Schizosaccharomyces pombe: one gene and its partners. Changing the gene in region 3 together with the main gene of any one other region gives a genetic interaction. Each region holds a gene or a part of one and is shown on either strand. Other genes may lie near its edges.

Region 1 (3,437 bases), on a different chromosome or scaffold from region 3:
TTAGCCTTACAGCTTCATCTTGCACAATAATTTTGGCTGATCAACTCTTATTCTAGGGACAGTTTGAAAAATCATACCTTGTCTCGTATTTTAGACTTTTAGGATCTGTGGCTCTAATTTGTGACAAAGAACATAATTACATGTTGGACCGTACTTAACGCACCTCAGTCCTTCTTTGATCTCTTGGCTCTGTGAAGATAAACAAAACGTACAAATCCGTTAATGGTTATAACGACGATGAGAATACTCAATACTCGGTAAAATCAAATGTGTTGCTGTTCATTTTAGCGTACTGCCTAGCGCGGATTTGTTTGATAGACTCATTCCAAGATTGTCGATCTACTACGAATGATTTGCAACCGCTTGGAAGCCGAGTAACTGTTTGTCGCTAACTTAAAAGATTTCCTGTTATGCTTTTTTCACTAGTAAAATGAAGTATGCTATAACTTTTCCTTACCATTAAAACACAATAAAAAGCGAAAAACACATAAACAAAATCAAAATACTTATGAATTCCGTTATTTGTTAGAAAATATGTTTAGTATAAGTTTAAAATAAAAAAAAAAAATAAAAAAAACAATTTACAATATTTTATCTAGTATAAAGACTTTTATTGCTTAAGCGTTTCTAATTAAATGTTTTTAGAGGATAAATTTAACCCCTATTTTTAAATCCCACGATTTAAATAACGATTATATATATATCAGTTGAATCCCTCATCCAAAGGACAAACTGGTATAAGTTCAATGGGCTGACACCAACTTGGCATGCCTTCCTCGTTATTAAAAACATTGATTGTAGGACTATCTAACAATAACGCAGAGAATCCGGGAGTACATGTTGCTACTTGAACATTATATAGAGTAGAATTCATCAGTTGGTTGCTAAGACCCGTTATCCGACTTGAATTTTGTGCTGTATACGCCCATGCATCAAAAGAAATTTCACTGGTAACAGTATTCACAAAAGGGATCATTGCATTTTCAATACTTTGAGGATTGCATGTTTTCAAATACGTTGTAAATGTCAAGGGAGTAAAGTTGGCCGTGTCGTTTTCAGCTATCGTAAACAAACGTGGAATAAGTCGAGGTTCTTGTTCCAACATACGCTGAAAAAATTCACCTTTACTTTCAGTCAAAGCATCAAGACCTATAAATGATTTTTCACCAACGTATGTAGCATTCGTTCCTACTACTTTCAGTAGATACGTACCACAATGCGGACCGCGTAGTCTACTACACTCAAGATCAGTGAGGTTGAAGCGTATGGCGGTAGCGAGCCCAATGAAAAAGAGAGATATTAAGTTTTTGAAAATCATATGGAAATATCTTTTGAATGTTTGTAAAGAAATGTTTGATTTTAGTCGGTTTATATAGTTTTTTTTTTCTTTTTTCAGCAACAAAAATAGATTAACTCGTACATATATAAAATGAGATATTTTCGCGTAGATCATGATCGTCGCAATTTCAAACGTTGCAAATCACCTTTTTCTTTTTGAAATGTCACCAAAAGTGGTAACAACTGCAAATCGTTGAGGTAACGTGGTTTTCCCACTAGTCAATAACGAATACCAATTTTTATGTGATTGCGAATTTATCGGCGAGTTGTGACACATTTGTCTCAGAAAACACACGCTTTTTTGGTCTTTTCTCTACTGCTCAAATTTGTTGCTCTTTTTGTTGTGTAGATCTTCCCTCTGATTTTCAAACAAAATTTGCGGTTTCCCACCCATTGTTATCAACGTCTATTATTCTTGGAAAATCTTCCATTACATTATTGAATTTGAATAACGAGGCCAAAACAAACAAATGAAAATCTGCTAATTCACGAAATGGTACTGGTTCCATTAGATAAGGAAAAATTCGAAAAAAAATTATGTTTCTTCAGTCGTAGTATGCCTACTGGATTATCATTAGCAATATGAGTAGCTTTTATCCCGTTTATTATATTATAAACGATTCGGATTCCTATCGATTTATTCTAAAATAAAATACCCGTCAGTTATTTACTTGGATTTTAACTTAGAAGCCAAAAAACGAATCTTCAACCAGACTGAACTGGAAAACATTAATTAAAGAGATTCTCGGTTGTAGATAGTTGTAATTGTTTCTGTTTCTGTTCTGAAAACTTGTTAATATAGTAATCCCCCACTCTTTTTCCATATTTAGTCTTTGAAGAAAGCGAAGCAATTCTTATACTACTCGTCTTTAACGAGTTGCATATATACCGCCCTATTTTTTTGCAGTTTCCTTTAAAAAATCTCATTAGAATGTTTCAATGCATACTTAATAAATCAATTTTATCAAATGCTTTGTTGTGAATATATTCTTAAAACTCATTCATTTCTTGTAAAGAAATCTTTCTTTATATGAAATTTGAAATATTCGAAATTTCATCTTTATAACTAGGTATTTCTCAATACTTTTACATAAATTAAGAAGGGAAAAAATTTGGGTTTCCTTTTTAAATCAGTTAGAGGCGAAACCTCTAACGCTTTTCATGGCTTCGTGTTAAATGTGTAATTATTTTTAAGAAGAAATACAAACACAATTAACAGATGTTGCATAACATTACTTTAGATTTGAATTTCACCTCTTAGATATCATCCATTCACATGTCAAGTAGGTGCAGTTTGTGGTTAACATATATTATTACATCTGTATTTAACAAAGTCTAGAGCAAAGAAGATATTTTCAAAATGCTGGAAGGAGAAATTTAGAATGTATGACTTACCTTGTGAAACCCTAGTATATTACGTTTTCGTAGTAAAACTAGTAGCAGGTGAAATTTTAGAGTAGTTTGTTGACGAATGTTTGTTTCAATTTTATCGCTTAAAAATTAAATTTGTTTTAGATTCATCTATTTCCATTATAATTTTTCTTTTTTGTAACATTATTCAAGTAAGGTTATGTGTATCAAAACAATAACTTCTGACTAACTACTCGAATAACAACCAAGTATTCCACTATGATTTTTAATGATGAGCCAATATTCAAGATTGATATAATTTCCAAGAGATGTTTACAAATTCCAGTTTATAATTCCCTTACGCTTTTCTTCCTCTGTATCTCTTGAAAGCCCGTTCTACTGCATTTGCTAAAAATGCAATAAATGTATGAAAGTTAAACTCAATAATCAAAGTCTTTATGTAGTATTACAGTTATGAATTATTGCGACATTTCATCTTCAGCCTTACTCAAAATCTGAAGGATTCAACATATGGCAATTTATTTGTTTTTATCATGGGAAGCACTAACGATGAAAACATCAATAGACCATAAATCATCATTTCTATATGAAAATGTAATATAATTTCTAATACAGGAATTCCTTCTTATACATTTATTTGTAACATTGCTTCATGCTTTTTTCCCTTTCATTTTCAGTTTTCTTTTGTTCCCAAATCCCAGAGCCATAATTTAAAGAAAATATGAACT
Region 2 (5,016 bases), on a different chromosome or scaffold from region 3:
CTTTTTTTCTAGGGGGTATGTATATTTTTCAACGATTTGAATTATTATTAACATGTCTTGACAGGAGCCATCGTATTCTATGGTACTGTAAAGCTTCGTGATGCTATGATGGATTGTACGTTTTTAATAGAAATAGAACAATTTTTTAACTCTATGTAGCTGCGGAGTATCGCAATGATCCTAGAAACCCAAAGGCTGGAAAGTACGGAAGTGATCATTAAGTTGATGACGAGTTCATGTCTTTCACTTCCTAAAATGTTTCAGCCCTTTTGATGTGATTTAATGGAAGTCAATGAAATTACACTGCTTGTTTTTGTAGCAGTTACAATTGATCAAAAGTTCTGTAATCAATCGAATTTATTTGTAGGAGATCAATCATTTAAATTAAAGTATTAAATGTATATTTAAATATGAACTTTTCAAATAAACAGAAGGAAAAAATGAATTTCCATGCTTTTTAGGAATACATGTGTTGCACGAAATAAATATTCACTTTGACTGAAAAGTTATGTACTTAGTCGTCATTTAATTCGCTCATTTTGTAATCTTTTAATTTACCTAGATAATTTGATAATCCTCAGAAAAAGTACCTCAAACATATTGTTCCTATTTTGTGTTTCCAATTAAGCAGATCTTTGGGCACGGATTTCAAAAGCTGTAAAATAACGTATTACAGAAGGTTTAGTATACACTTCTATATTGAAGCTGGTATTGTATTCTCTAGAACTGAGGCTTTTACTAAAAATAAAGCAGTATTAGCATTTTTCGTTTTCAATACTACTTCGCCATGTAGGCGATCGTTTTTTGCATTCACTCCAAAAAAGAATCATCGGAAAAACTATTGAAAGAGAATAGCAGTTCAATATGATTCTGTAAGTAAAATCCTGAACGTTCATAGAAAATCATTTTGGATTTGTTTGCTTTGTTTACAAAACAAATCACTTTGAAGTGATTCTCTTTGAGGATATGAAAAAATATGCTAGAATTCCACATTCTTCATAATGTAAACAAAACATTATTGCTTTTTGTATCAATAAATTTAATCCAAACCTCTTTTCTTTCCACTAGAAAACCACATGTCATTCATATTTTGTACTTTTCGGAAGAAAGTCAGAACAAGCTCCCACTCAGGTACTTCATGCTACAATGTAATGCACAAACAATTGAAGGGTAAAATATCTGTTGGAGCAAATGATTCCGTGACATTTCAGCCACATCACAAACGGCTTACTTCGGAATAAACAAATATTATTCTAACGGAAAAGAAAAAAAAAAATCCGCGTTCAGTAGAAGTCACTGCAAAAATATGAACCAACAAATTTGAATTCGCTTTGCTTACTAAATTTATTAAGTCTCATGTAAAGAAACAATCAACATCCACAGCCTTAAGGCAATCATGGTACAAACATTAAATAAAATATTCCACTCTTTTAGAAACGAGCATCTTAAAAAATTAGTTGACGAGGGAAGTAAACAAAGACATTGAAGTATTGCTTAGTAAAATAAAAAATTAGTCACATTACATTGTATATATCATGTATTCAAAACATCCTTCTACTCCAAATATAGCTCGTTGCAGCGCTCTATTTGCCTTCCTCTTTGATTTCTGTGATGATGCGATTCTAACAACCACAGTCATCTCTGTGAATTAGAATCTTAGCAAAATGACGGTTGTTGACATTAAGATTGGTAATAAATATCGTATAGGTAGAAAAATTGGTTCTGGCTCCTTTGGTCAAATTTACCTGGGATTAAATACGGTAAATGGAGAACAAGTTGCTGTGAAATTGGAGCCTTTAAAGGCTCGTCATCATCAGTTAGAATATGAGTAAGTAGTGCTTTAATATTTTTTTACTTAAGTATAAGTTGGATTTCTTTCGGAACTCCAATTTCTTCTTTATATCTATCAACCGTAGCTCGATGTTTTACAACCAAAAAGGAAAAGCAAAAGTTACTCCATTTGGTTATTTTTCTTTTTTCTTTCTAACATTTAGGTTTCGTGTGTATAATATTCTTAAAGGAAATATTGGCATACCCACAATTCGCTGGTTCGGTGTAACCAATAGTTATAATGCTATGGTCATGGATTTATTAGGCCCTTCTCTGGAAGATTTATTCTGCTATTGTGGAAGAAAGTTTACTCTTAAAACGGTTCTTTTACTTGCTGATCAACTCATCAGTCGCATTGAATATGTTCACTCCAAGTCATTCTTACATCGAGACATTAAGCCTGATAATTTTTTAATGAAGAAGCACAGCAATGTTGTTACGATGATTGACTTCGGATTGGCGAAAAAATACAGGGATTTTAAAACTCATGTTCATATTCCATATCGAGATAATAAGAATCTTACGGGAACGGCTCGATATGCTAGTATTAACACCCATATTGGTATTGAACAATCTCGCCGTGATGACCTCGAATCGTTAGGTTATGTTTTACTTTATTTTTGTCGCGGCAGTTTGCCCTGGCAAGGCTTACAAGCTGATACAAAGGAGCAAAAGTATCAACGGATACGTGATACCAAGATTGGCACTCCTTTGGAAGTCCTTTGCAAAGGTCTTCCCGAAGAGTTTATCACTTACATGTGTTACACTCGTCAGCTTTCGTTTACCGAGAAGCCAAACTATGCTTATTTGAGAAAGCTGTTTCGTGATTTACTTATTCGTAAAGGATACCAGTATGACTATGTTTTTGACTGGATGATATTAAAATACGTAAGTTTTGAAAAGAAAATGATAAGGTGATACGTTAGTTTAACCTTAACAAATGATTGAAAATTCGATTGACTAACTATTATTAGCAAAAGCGAGCTGCTGCTGCTGCCGCCGCTTCTGCTACAGCACCTCCACAGGTTACATCTCCTATGGTGTCACAAACTCAACCGGTTAATCCCATTACTCCTAATTATTCATCCATTCCCTTACCTGCTGAGCGGAATCCAAAGACTCCACAATCTTTCTCCACTAATATTGTTCAATGTGCTTCTCCCTCACCTCTTCCTCTCTCCTTTCGTTCTCCTGTTCCCAACAAAGATTATGAATACATTCCATCTTCGTTGCAACCTCAATACAGTGCTCAACTGAGGCGTGTTTTAGATGAAGAACCAGCTCCTTGATTTTTTGACTTTACTTTTCATCAATTCCTCTCTTACACTACGTCTTTTAGTCTTAAATTCCAAACCATCTGTTGACGTTTTAAAGTTCCACAAATATCTTTAATAATTCCTGGCTTTCTTTTTTGTCTATGGATGGCCGGATTGCTACACTAATACACTTTGAGGTTTAGCTATTGTTTTGAGCTATTCCATTTTGCCTAGAAGTTGAGTTTTAATGCCTTCTTTTTAAATAGACATATTGTGTAAACCTCATACATGCTTTACTGAAAAGACATAATTAGAGGACAAAATTTAAATCGTGCTGTTTGTTTATATTCAGCTCGTTCCGGTCAAGTTCTTGCCAAAGAATTGAGTCAGTCGTGCTATTCATTTCTAAATTTCTTCTTCCCAGAATTTTATTTTATTGTTTTCGTTCCCCATTGGTTCTTACATTCCGTTTTTATTCAAAACTGAAAAGTTTGTACCTCCATTGCTAGAAGTAATATACACAAGGAGCATGTTTCTTTTTTTACACTATCATTTGCGTGGCTCTAAACCAGTCTTTATTGCCTACCTTTGCAATAAAAGATATAATATCAATTGCATAAGAAATAATTCATTAATAAATGATAAATTTCATCGATTAAATAGATCGCTATTTTTCACACTGTATTATGGGCAAGTAGCGTAAAAAATATTAGCTCTGTTGGAGTTGACCGCTGGATCATCAAGTTTTACATACTATTTAATTTCGGCTGTAGCAAAGAAAAATATCCATCGATTTGCCATATTATCATATCTATTGCTTTCTGTGGTATTTTAACCACCGGTATTTCACTTCTACAAATGTAAACAAAGCACGTTGATTTGTTTACATTACAGTTGCCCCAGTAACACATTATGGATCAGCACCACAAAGAAAAATCATTCAAAATTGATGCTCAAATTCAATATTCTACAGGCTCAAGAAGGGATCTATACTTATTTTTACTAAACCCATAACTATCATCTCTGTTTCGTCTGCGGTAAAAAAAAAATTGTTTAGATTAATGTAAAAACAGAGCAAAATGAGATTTGTCACTTAGTACAACAATGTGTTACCTCTACACGCAACTCCTGAGTTGCGTCGCATGTTATTTGATGAGCTGACTTTGCGCACAAAACCAATACATAACAAAGAGATCTTAGGATTTGGAAGTTGCGCTACACCAAATACTTTTCATATTCGGTAAAGGGAAAGATTTTAAAAAAAGCTTCAGAATGGGATCAAGGTATGTACTAAATCTGATCAATCAATGTCTAACTAATCATTAGATTCGGTAGAAGAAAAGAACGCAATGGCGATATGTTGCCCTTGTATGAGTCTCAATCTCCTCAGCATTTAGACTCCTTGGAAAATGAAAATGATGAACGGATTTCAAAGTTAACTGGAAAAGTCAAGTCTTTGAAAGAGGTAAGATTTTTGCCATCATCAGGAAAAACATGCTAACTAATTTTAATAGCTTACTATGAATATTGGGACTGAGATAACGTCTTCTACTAAGTTGATGGAGTCAATGAACGACTCATTTGACTCGACCAAGTCACTTTTGAGCGGGACAATGACTCGATTAAAGAATGTTTCGAAGAATGGAGGAATTTCAATTTGGATGTGGCTCGCCTTCTTTTGCCTCGTTGCGCTTATCCTCGTTTTGGTAAGATTTTAGGCATTTTGCTTACTACCTTTACTCTTTTTTAGAGTTAGCATTTTTATGATTCATTTTATGGCGTGTATAATCTGTTAAAATTGTATACTTGAAGTTTCTTCATTCTCTTTTCTTCTAACATTTTCATTCTGATTATTTTAAACTTATTATCGATAGAAAAAAAACATTCATCCACCTTTGGTGTTTCCACACAAGTGGTTTGTCACGATAGG
Region 3 (6,263 bases):
TACACTGTCAACACTCTCTAAATTTGTGGTTTTTGAAAGATGGAAATGATTGAATAGACGGTGGGCTTCATTAAAATTATATTTTTTTGTCCCCTTAATGAGAGTTCATACTGTTTTGAAATTACGTGTTTGAATATAGAGACATTGTTTTTTAAAATTACCATTGTAAAAGCATAAGAGATATTTGAAGTAAAGTAGGGCAAAGTAAGTTAAGAAATTTTTTTGGATTGGATTTGTAAAGTGTTTTTCAAGCATACTGTATATTGTTAAGATTTTTCTTTTTATCCTTTTATTCATCTTCCTTAATTGGTTAATGTGTTCTTAGGTATATAAATTTACAAAAAAAAAATTTCCGATTCCACATGACAATGAATGAATAAATAATATGTCCGTGCGTTTATTTGAATTTAATATATATCGTTTGGCAAATCTCGATGAGTAGCTTAAAACAACATAATCGCTTGAATTTCATGTGCTTTGTGTACACAGTGTGCATTGTTTAGTAGATCAACTTTTTCTTCTTTCATTGCAATGAGTACGGGCATTTTCCCTTTTCCTCCATATTTCACGAATCCATGTTTTTTTTAGATAACCCTTTCTCAATCAAAACTCAGCATGCTTCTTCAGACTTGACCACTTATATTGTCAGTACACTACTGCTCCTTAAAAGCTTACTCCAAGTCAAGACATCAAGGTTGGAGCAATCATTCTCTTCATGAGGTACTATGGCTGATTTTCTTGCTAGAGATTATCGCTCTCAAGGTGAGGCGGCGCATGAAATGCTGCCGACTTTCCTTATAGGAAAAATCTTGAGAGAACGCATAGTAGATTCTATTTACTGGAAAGAACAATGTTTTGGATTGAATGGTATGTGTTCTTCATTGACAGAAAAGGAAAGTGTTTTTACATATTAGAGTTCAAGTACGATTACTTTCCAAATCGATATTTTGAGTGATATAGCCTAAATGAACTTGATTTGGCAAGCAAAGAAACCAAGTATAGGTACTTGCTGTTTTAATCAGTCCTCAAACTGTTATTCCAAATTCACTGACTAATACATCTTAGCTTGTTCATTGGTGGATCGTGCAGTACGGCTTGAATATATAGGTGGTCAGTATGGAAATCAACGGCCCACCGAGTTTATCTGTTTGTTATACAAGCTTTTACAAATTGCACCTGAAAAAGAAATAATTCAACAGTACCTATCTATTCCTGAATTCAAGTATTTACGTGCCCTGGCTGCATTTTACGTTCGGCTTACATGGGATGATGTGGAAGTGCATCAAACGTTGGAACCGCTGTTAAGAGATTATCGGAAATTAAGAATTCGTACTAATTCTGAGATCCGATTAACATATCTGGATGAGGTTGTTGATGATTTGCTAAATGCCGAAGTAGTTTGCGATATTTCCCTGCCCCCATTGCGAAGTCGACTCCAACTTGAAGATTTGGACTTGCTTGAACCACTTTCATCTTCTTCAGACGAAGAAGATGATGATGAAGAACAAATTAGTAAATTGGAGAGCAATGAAGGTGCTGTAGATCGGAATATTTAAGGATAAGTAATATACAAAAAAAGAGTAAAGCGAAGCACGCATTTTGTGATGCGTCTACGATTTAACTTGGAATGACTCTACAAGGAAAAGTTATGGATTGAAATGGTTTTACACTTGAACTTATTAAAAAACAATTTATGAATAACAAACATCTAATCAAATAGATTTGTATATTAATATATATCGATTTCACATATTATCGCAAATACGCTATTTTTTCTTGTAAACAAATTTCGATAGACTTAGTTTACAGCACACTAAATATTTATAAAATGTCTTTGATACGCCACGGAATTTTTTTCACACCATACTTTAACGAATCACCCCATTCCGTCTATTTTCTTACGTTTCGTTAAAAACATGTCAGTCCACTTCTTTTTTGCTCACATATGAATTAACACGACTTTTCTCTTTCATCCATTACCATACTCGAGCAATCCTAACTTTGCTTATCGGGTGATCGATTTTAAATTTTTTTACTTATAGGACGTCCAGTAGCCTTTATAAGTTCATTGACAACAATTGGGTTGTTGCTGAGAGTTTGTTTACTGCGCTCGACTCTTGCTATAACCTAATCTTAAACGATTATCAAGCTGGATTTCCTTCTTGCTAAGAACATTATTTTATTTTACAACTCATTCAAGAAATTATTTTGCTATCTATCGCCTTGGATAGCTTTTAATGCGTCAAATTTTGGATAATTTGTAGCTCGATTAGAAAATTCGCTCAACATCCTATACAGTCACAGAGATAAAAAACCCTAAGAGTTAAATTCAATTTCTCTTTATTGTTGGATTTTTTAACTCGCTGTTAAATTCCGCTTGGTTCTAGCTGGAAATTTTGTTAAATATGCAAAGCTCAATTCCGTCAGTTTCCGTGTCGGTCGCTTCTCCTGCAATGGAAACTCCAACAAAAGCTTCGCCTGACAGCAAATCACCCAATTCAGTGGGTGCGATTCCTTCTTCATCCCCTTTGGCTTCATCGACAAAGGCTTCAACTTCTACTCCCTTTGTGGAGAATTGTTCCAATCTGTTGTGTGATTTGGCTAGCATTGTCGAGGACTCACCTCCAACCTTGACCAACACCTCGTTGTCTCCCCATTCGTTTTCCCTTTCTGATATGGAGTCATCAATGAGCAATTGGCTTAACCCTTTTGCGTTCGACAATACGATGAACTCGGCGCCTCCTCTGTTTACTTCGACCAACATGGGCTCCCCTAACTCGTTAGAAAACTCTACAAATCCTCTTCTCTCTAATTGCGGCTCTCCAAATTCATTTCAGAATGAGACCTTTACCGGCCCATCATTGAATGAGTTCGATGCCGATGATAAAATTCAGCGCCAAATGAAAATCCTTCACTCTGTTGATACAATCGATCCATCGACTGTTCAAAATTATCCTTCAGCTGATATGTCAAATCCAGAAGTCAAATTGAAAACCGAAGAAATTATTACACCCATGGACACCACTTGCAAGCCTGAACCTTCTGCCAAGAAAATAAAGTTGTCTCCTTCCTCGGAAGATTCTTGCTCAATTCCTGAAACATTACCTTTTTCGGCCCCCAAGTCTAGAGGCTCATTATCTCCTTCTGAAACCCCAGATTTTGTAGCCGGTCCTGGAGGAAAACCAAAGAAGACAGCTCATAACATGATTGAGAAGAGATACAGAACCAACTTGAACGACCGAATTTGTGAATTGCGTGATGCAGTTCCTTCACTTCGTGCTGCTGCTGCACTTCGTTGTGGTAATTCTCTGGACGATGAGGATTTGGGGGGTTTGACACCCGCTCGTAAGCTTAACAAGGGTACAATATTGGCAAAAGCAACTGAGTATATCAGACATTTGGAGGCCAAGAATAAGGAACTACAGAAGACTAACAAGCAGCTTTCAGATAGGCTGGCTTTCTACGAAGATCCTTCGATGGCTCCTCCTTCTAACGATACTCGAGCCGTTAACTCTGTTAATGTTGTTTCCTCATCTGACTATTCTGTTCACCAATCTTCTCGACCAAACCTAACCCAAAGAGCTTTTACTTCCCCAACCCTAAATACCATGGGCCGCACAGCACTAAATGGCATGGTTGGACTTGGTCTATTCAATTATTTTGGAAACGATTCTTCTCAATCTGTTTATGGTTTATTCGCTCTTCCACCTTTTCTTATGTCTCCATTCACAGGTACTGTTCTCTTTAACATGCTGAAAATTGGTGTTGTTTTACTCGGTTTATTCTATCTTTTGCACGATAACTCTCTTTTCAAAGGCTTCAAGGGTGAAAAGAAATCTAAAGTTAGTACCAGATCTTCCATGTCACCATCCTCAATCTTATTCCGAAAAACCGTATTCGAAAAGTATTGTTTATTGGACCATTCTACTTCGACTATTTCTCTATTTTTTGGATTACTGATCTTCACTCTTAAATCTGCTTATGGCTATTTGACTCATCGTTTGAGTGCTCTTTATACCTCCTCTGAGAATTGGGTTTATAGTGAGCAACAACTTGCTGAAGTTCGCAACATGGAAAAGCTTTTGGATGCCCAATTAATGGGTGGTGATGCTAAAGTTGACCGTTTGAGGCTCTTAATGGTATTTGCCAGTTCATTTTCTCTTCCTCCTTCAAGTCATACTTGTGCTTTACAAGCAATGTATTGCCAACTAATTTTTTCCAACACCTCTGTCCCATCCGCTATCGTTTCGAAGTGCGTTGCTTTCTTCTGGAATGCTGCAAAGAAACAACATAGCAAAAGTTCTGTACACGCGGAGTTACGTGAGCTTCCTGAGTGTACTGCTAACCTAATTGAAAACTCCCACGCTGACGACGTTTTCTCTCCGAATATGGTTGAGCGATTGTGGGTTCTAGCAAAGTGCACCCGTGACTCTGCTCAAATGTCAGATAGTATTATTAGCTCCTTATCTGATGTTTTGGTTTTATCTCCTCTAGAGGTGCTTGCCTCATGGTATGCCGCTGATTTGTTGGATGCCCTTTTGATGGAAAGTTTGAGCCGTAAAGTTGAGATATCCGAGATTGAGGAAATTATTTCCCTTTGTCCTAAGAACTCCTCTATTATTCGTCATGCTTTACTAGCTAAATTGGTTTTGTTCCCCGAGAATACAGCTGATTCTTTGAATGAAGTCCTTGCAGCATACAAGAACACTTTGGATTTATGCAGCCAAGATAAACGCAAGCAGTCAAGCGTGTTAAAGATCAACTTATCCAAGCTATTCACACTCCACTCATGCCTATCATTAGCACTCCAACGCCTTGGATACGGGGATGTTTCTAAACGTATGTATCAGGAAATCTTTGTACCTGATAGTGATGCAGACATTACACCTTTATCTTTTATTATTTCCTGGACCGCTTTGAACACTTTTGCTCCTATTTGCACATCTCCAAAGGAAAACGATGTCGTTGAAAAGATGGCCATGTACGTGCGGACGGCCATCGGAACTTTGAAAATTCAAGATTTGAAATTATCTCGTAAGTTAATCAACTCTTGCATAGATATTGGATCTCGCTTACAAGAAGATTTGGGTTATGTTTCATCAGCTTAAATTGTCGATTCTCGAGCTTTGAGAACAGTTAGTATACAACGCTCATCTATTGCAACTACCTTATTATTTTCCATGATTGTTATTTCATCAGTTATTTTGCGTATCATTTTTTAGTTTTAATTATTCTTTTAATAAATTACAGTTGTCGTCGGTAAGAGCAGTGATAAAAATATGCAATTAGAGTTATTTTGTTGTATCAAGCTAGCACAATTCACCATTTGAGTATATTTGGTGATTAAATAAAATGAATAGAGTACAATTTGAGGCATGCTAAGGTTCATCGAACTAACTATTTTTTTAAATAATGACACATTGGCAAGATTAAAAAATTGGATTCTTCTCTTGCAGTTAACTCTCTGCTGTTGATGAAGATGTGTTGAATCTTAGACTGCTGATATCCATTTTATACCAATTGTATAAAAAAAAGAATGTCAATTATTAATAAAATGGAAATGCATAAGATAGATAAGAGTGGTCTGAAGTTTTACGGTACAGTACGTAGTTCCGTCCTTACTGAAATCTCGGGAGTAATACGAACCATTCACCAAAGGTAAACAAACTACCAAATTGTTTTTATGTATTATTTACTACTATATTGGTTAACTTATTCTGAATCCTACAACCTAAAATAAAAATAAATAGACTCGCTTTTATTATTTGTCGATTCAAGAACTTAGCTCTCCTTTGAAGATGAACAAACATTTTGCAAAGCTTTCACAATGGACCGGTGAAAAATTTGGTTTTGATCGTCAGAAGACTACATTATCTGATGATTTTTGTTCCTTGAAAGGTGAAACGGATGCCTGGCTTGTGGGAATGGATAAAATTCATAGAAGTTGCACAAGATGGGTACGGAATATGGATAAACGAAAGGGCCTGCTCGACGAGAAAGATAAGCAATTACCTGTTACTCACGTTGGATCGTCTTTTGTAGAGTTAGGGCAAGCATTATCGCATTCTTCAAGCAATTCGCACACTTATATCATGTACGGAAAAAGCATGGTTGAAATAGGGCACCTACAGGAGGAGTTTATGGATTATTTGAACAATTCTTTTTTGGCAAATCTAGAAAATTCTTTAGCCGAGTTTAAGGCTTTAGATGTGAAGGAAAAGAAGATGGAAAATCGACGACTTGTCTTTGACGCGCTTTCTACA
Region 4 (4,333 bases), on a different chromosome or scaffold from region 3:
CAACAGGTTCAACGGGAGTTTTCAACTCTTCTTAATCAATACAAAGATGAGATAAATCGTGAAGCAGCTTATAATCTTGCTAATAACTATGGTAAGGAAGAACAGTTACTTCAAATTGCTACCGTTATGAAAGACCAGTCTTACATAATGCACTATTGGGTACAAAGAGAGAACTATGAAAAAGCGTTGGAGACATTAAATGAAGGCGTCAGTCAAGAAACCCTCATTCAGCATGCGACTGCCCTTTTAACTCATCGACCGAATGAAACTGTCAGCATTTGGGAACGTCAAACAGATTTGGACGTACATGCATTGATACCATCCCTCTTGAGTTATAATCAGCGTTCTCACGTACCGGTAGAGGAAAATGCGGCCATAAGATACCTTAGATACGTTACTGGTGTTTTGGGGTGCGTAGATCCATCTATTCATAATACATTGTTCTGCATTTACGCTTGTCATTCGAGTTCTAATGAGTCTTACTTAATGAATTATATTGAACAGCAAGGAAATCATCCTTTGTACGATATGGATTTAGGAATTCGATTATGCTTGCAATTTAACTGTCGGAGAAGTGCAGTAAAAATTCTGGTGCTTATGAAGCTGTATAGCCAAGGAGTGGAATTAGCCTTAGAAGCAGATGATTGTGAATTAGCTGCTACGATAGCAAATATTCCAGAGGAAGATGTTGTGTTGAAAAAAACTTTGTGGCAGACTATTGCAAAATATATGTTTTCCAAAAAAAGTGGAATTAAAGAAACCTTGAGATTTTTAGAGAATTCCGAGGTTTTACAACTTCCCGAGCTTATTCGCCTATTGCCAGAAGATATAAAACTGGACGATTTAAGTGATAATGTGTGTGATGAACTGGATCATTGCATGAAAAGAATTGAACAGCTGGACTTCGAAATCGGACAAGCATCAGAAGTTGCGCATGAAATACAAACTAACGCTGAAAATATGCGTAATAGGTACATTGTTTTGGAGCCCAATGAATCATGCTGGCACTGCAACCAACCTCTTTTTTCCGAACCATTTGTTTTATTTCCTTGTCAGCATGCTTTTCATCGCAGTTGTATGCTAGAAAAAACTTACAAACTGGCATCAGAAAAAAACATTTTGAAAGAATGTCAGTTGTGTGGTCCTTCTTATGCTGTAAGACTTATTAATGAACCTTTTTCGACGGATTTTTGAGTGCCATTTAAATTACCATTATTATGTGTTTTCGAGTCGTTTATTGCTTGCACCGAACAGCCTTAACGACCTTGACTTAAACAGTTTTAGACTCAATGAAATTTATACTAATGACTAGTTTTTTCACTCATATTGTCTTTGACATCGATCTCCCTAGTCGTTACCACCCCTGAAAAATTTGATATTTCTAATATAATATTAGCATTGAAATTGGAAGCTACAACTTCTTATATCTAGAATTTTTAATTGTTTTTAAAGTGCTATTCGTTTTCGAATCACGACTAAAAGTCATAATTCTTTTCTCATATATATTCTTAAACCGGTTATATTGTTTTTTGTGCTAATGAGTAGAAATAGCTCACACTCCACACGGTAAGCGTGCGATTTTAAAATAAAACCAATATTTTTGAATAAAACCCTTGGCTTTCCTTTGGTTTGTCTGCAAACGTAAGGCGAGCTCTCATATTCGCTTCAGGTGACCGGATCTTCCTTCGTGAACCATATGCCGCATTAGCGTATCCAGATCGTATTTCAGTCCCCTTTGAACTAATTTTGAAAAATTTATTAAATCAAAATTGTACGGATATTAAATTAGTAGCTTCTCGATGATTTTCATGATTCTAGGACGATCAAAGGAGTTCATTCTGAAATTACCGATATGGACGCAAATAATAACTTATATCGCCATTCTGGTGTATGCACTTTCCTTCTTTGGAATATCCACGGGGGTTCTGTCTCTTAGCTGGATAGGATTGTTGCAAAAAAGGCAGCGTAAGTTAAAATTCCTTGGTACTTTAATTAATAACGGAGAGAGTAGTGTATGAAATTATAACTTATGTAACTCTTCATCTTTCAATGTTGCATATTGTATTTAACTTTGTATCCCTGTTGCCAGCAATGTCTCAATTTGAAAAGAAGCAAGGCACTTTGGCGTGCATTTTGGTGACGGTCATTCCTTACACTCTTTTCCCGGGTATTATGCATTTAATTGTCTACCATTTTTTCTTGAGAAAAGATTACGTTTCTATTGCTGGACTTAGTGGATGGGCTTTTGCTTTTATCTCTGCTTCCTGTGTTCACTCTCCACAACGATTGTAAGCATTTCTTATAATTATGGTTGCAGATGCATACTTCCACACGTCTTCTTTCCTCACAATGTTAAGAAACAACCTGGTTTGTATGATTTTTTGCAAACGTCGAACCTCTCTTGTCTTTTAAATGATGGCGGTTTATTAACTTATTTTTTAGAATCAGCTTTTTTAATCTTTTCAGCATTCCTGCATATTGTTTTCCTATTATTTACCTAATTATGACTACCATATTGGTTCCAAAAGCTAGCTTTATCGGGCATGCATCCGGAGCTGTTATGGGGTATTGTACTCCTTTCATGCTTGGTTCTATCCCCTTAAAAAGCTGGGCTCAAAATGTGGACCCAATCTTCCAGTCTTGGGTAAAAAACTATCACTCTTTTGATCAACTGTCGCATGCTCAACTCCCCATTGCGGAACCTCTGTCGACCTTTTCTTCTTTCCCCGGAAAAGGAACCCGTCTTGGGGGATGAACTTTCTGTCTTTTACTTCTTTTCTGTTCTTCTTCGTATGATGATATCCTAAATGTTTGTTTTCTTTATTGCAAAGGGTGGAAAAGCTCCTCTCAATGAAGAGATCTTCTATCTTTTGGTAATTCTTATTCAGTATTTTCTAGTCAGTCGTTTACAGGTTTCAATCATAAAGATTGTTTCATTCGCTATATTTGTTCTTTACTTGCACGGAGTTAGGGACAATTAGAAAGTATTTTAATGTTTAATAATTCTTTATGATTAACTTGTTTTAATCACCACTGTCCTACAGCGGCAGTGTAAAGGACAAAAGCTGTACAATCAAAACACCTTGAAATTGTAATTTCCGTTATTCTTTGGAAACTAGCGTTTTACGTTGTACTCTCAAATCATAAAACATTAAACTGTAAAGACACAGTGAAACTTATACTATTAACAATGGAAGAATGGGAAAATTAAAATAATAGCAGAAAAAGTGAAAACCATTGCTAATCGGTTATCAAGTATCAGATGTTTTTATTAAAACCCTTCATACAAGTTGGAATAACCGGTTTTTATAAATAAGAGAAACAATTCCTTTCGGATAAAGAAAAATAAAACTTGAAAAGTATTTCCCTAGATGAAAATCTTAATTAAGTGTTGTGGGCTAGTTAATTTGCTTGCCTATGTCCATCATCCTTTAAGCAAATACTGTTTTATCGACAAGTACAAGAGATCGAGTAACTCGCTGTATTGTTTCGAGAGCAGCGCGAACGATGCTTTGATCAGAAGGGGGAATGTTTTCAACAGAAGAGGGAACTGAGGAAGTGTTAGGTAAAGGAGCATTTACGGAGATTACGATATCTGTTTGAAAGTCAATCAAAGTTATCACATTCACGAAGATTGCCACATTGGTAGCGGATTCAGGATTTCGCTTTCCTTTTTCAAGGACCCTCTGACAACCTTGTACAGAAGATCCACTAGCCTTTTCGCTTCTCATGCCCTCAAAGTCGTCTTCACCAAGACTTTTGTCTCTCCAAATTACTCTTTGAGATGCATCATTATCGAATGCAATGCTATTGAAATGGTAAGCTGCCACACTTCCATCAAATGGCTTCTCAATTTTTTCCAAAAGCTCAATGATCACTGTTAGGTTTTCCTTGGAATCTTGCAAAAACACCTCTTGGTTGTCAGGAATCTGACGCAAAACGCTAGCATCGAGAAATTTAGGAGGGAAATCAGCACAAAGAGCCCCACCGAATAGCTGTACCATTACTATAAAAATATAAAAACCTAATAGATTTGTTTGTCTCAAGAACCAGATTGGTATTCGAACCACAAAAGGATTCTTTCCTATTTTCACTCCATTTCATTCGACTGCGGTAACAAGTTAGTGCGTGTTATTTTATGTTTCATTATTATATTTATCGCTAGTAAAACGCTTTAAATGAGCCTAGATTCAATTTTCAATATTTACGCACTGCACGGTAACTACTAAACTGATTTAAAATTAAAATAAAAAGAAATTCAAATTGATGATTTTTAATGAAAATGATATGTTAAAAATAAAATTTTGTACACATATATAGTTTCTAATATCGT

The links.
Region 1: mutations in sre1 (region 3) and SPOM_SPAC977.05C together harm fitness more than expected from each alone (negative genetic interaction), as found in Schizosaccharomyces pombe (2 studies listed by BioGRID).
Region 2: of sre1 (region 3) and hhp2, extra expression of one rescues a mutant of the other (dosage rescue), as found in Schizosaccharomyces pombe (one study listed by BioGRID).
Region 4: of sre1 (region 3) and rbd2, a mutation in one rescues a mutant of the other (synthetic rescue), as found in Schizosaccharomyces pombe (2 studies listed by BioGRID, with this or other methods).

The regions. Positions count from the first base shown.
Region 1 is NC_003424.3:35,065-38,501, forward strand, and holds SPOM_SPAC977.05C (Vel1p domain-containing protein), read right to left. Parts: upstream 1,319-3,437; coding exon 704-1,318; downstream 1-703.
Region 2 is NC_003424.3:1,047,371-1,052,386, forward strand, and holds hhp2 (serine/threonine protein kinase (CK1 family) Hhp2), read left to right. Parts: upstream 1-1,627; 5' UTR 1,628-1,664; coding exon 1,665-1,828; intron 1,829-1,994; coding exon 1,995-2,718; intron 2,719-2,804; coding exon 2,805-3,119; 3' UTR 3,120-3,766; downstream 3,767-5,016. Other genes in the region: atp18 (F0-ATPase subunit J), read left to right, coding at 1-15, 65-115, 160-221; SNARE protein Bet1, read left to right, coding at 4,359-4,369, 4,413-4,551, 4,601-4,804. UniProt on the Schizosaccharomyces pombe protein: Involved in DNA repair. May regulate the activity of protein(s) involved in double strand break repair caused by gamma rays.
Region 3 is NC_003423.3:1,689,423-1,695,685, forward strand, and holds sre1 (transcription factor Sre1), read left to right. Parts: upstream 1-1,971; 5' UTR 1,972-2,405; coding exon 2,406-5,108; 3' UTR 5,109-5,269; downstream 5,270-6,263. Other genes in the region: fructose-bisphosphate aldolase Fba1, read left to right, coding at 1-21; U4/U5/U6 small nuclear ribonucleoprotein complex subunit PRP38, read left to right, coding at 726-867, 1,066-1,556; SPOM_SPBC19C2.10 (BAR adaptor protein ), read left to right, coding at 5,799-6,263.
Region 4 is NC_003421.2:2,244,161-2,248,493, forward strand, and holds rbd2 (Golgi rhomboid protease Rbd2), read left to right. Parts: upstream 1-1,687; 5' UTR 1,688-1,799; coding exon 1,800-1,965; intron 1,966-2,011; coding exon 2,012-2,288; intron 2,289-2,442; coding exon 2,443-2,755; 3' UTR 2,756-3,083; downstream 3,084-4,333. Other genes in the region: pep3 (ubiquitin-protein ligase E3), read left to right, coding at 1-1,194; Ran GTPase-binding protein Mog1, read right to left, coding at 3,432-4,004.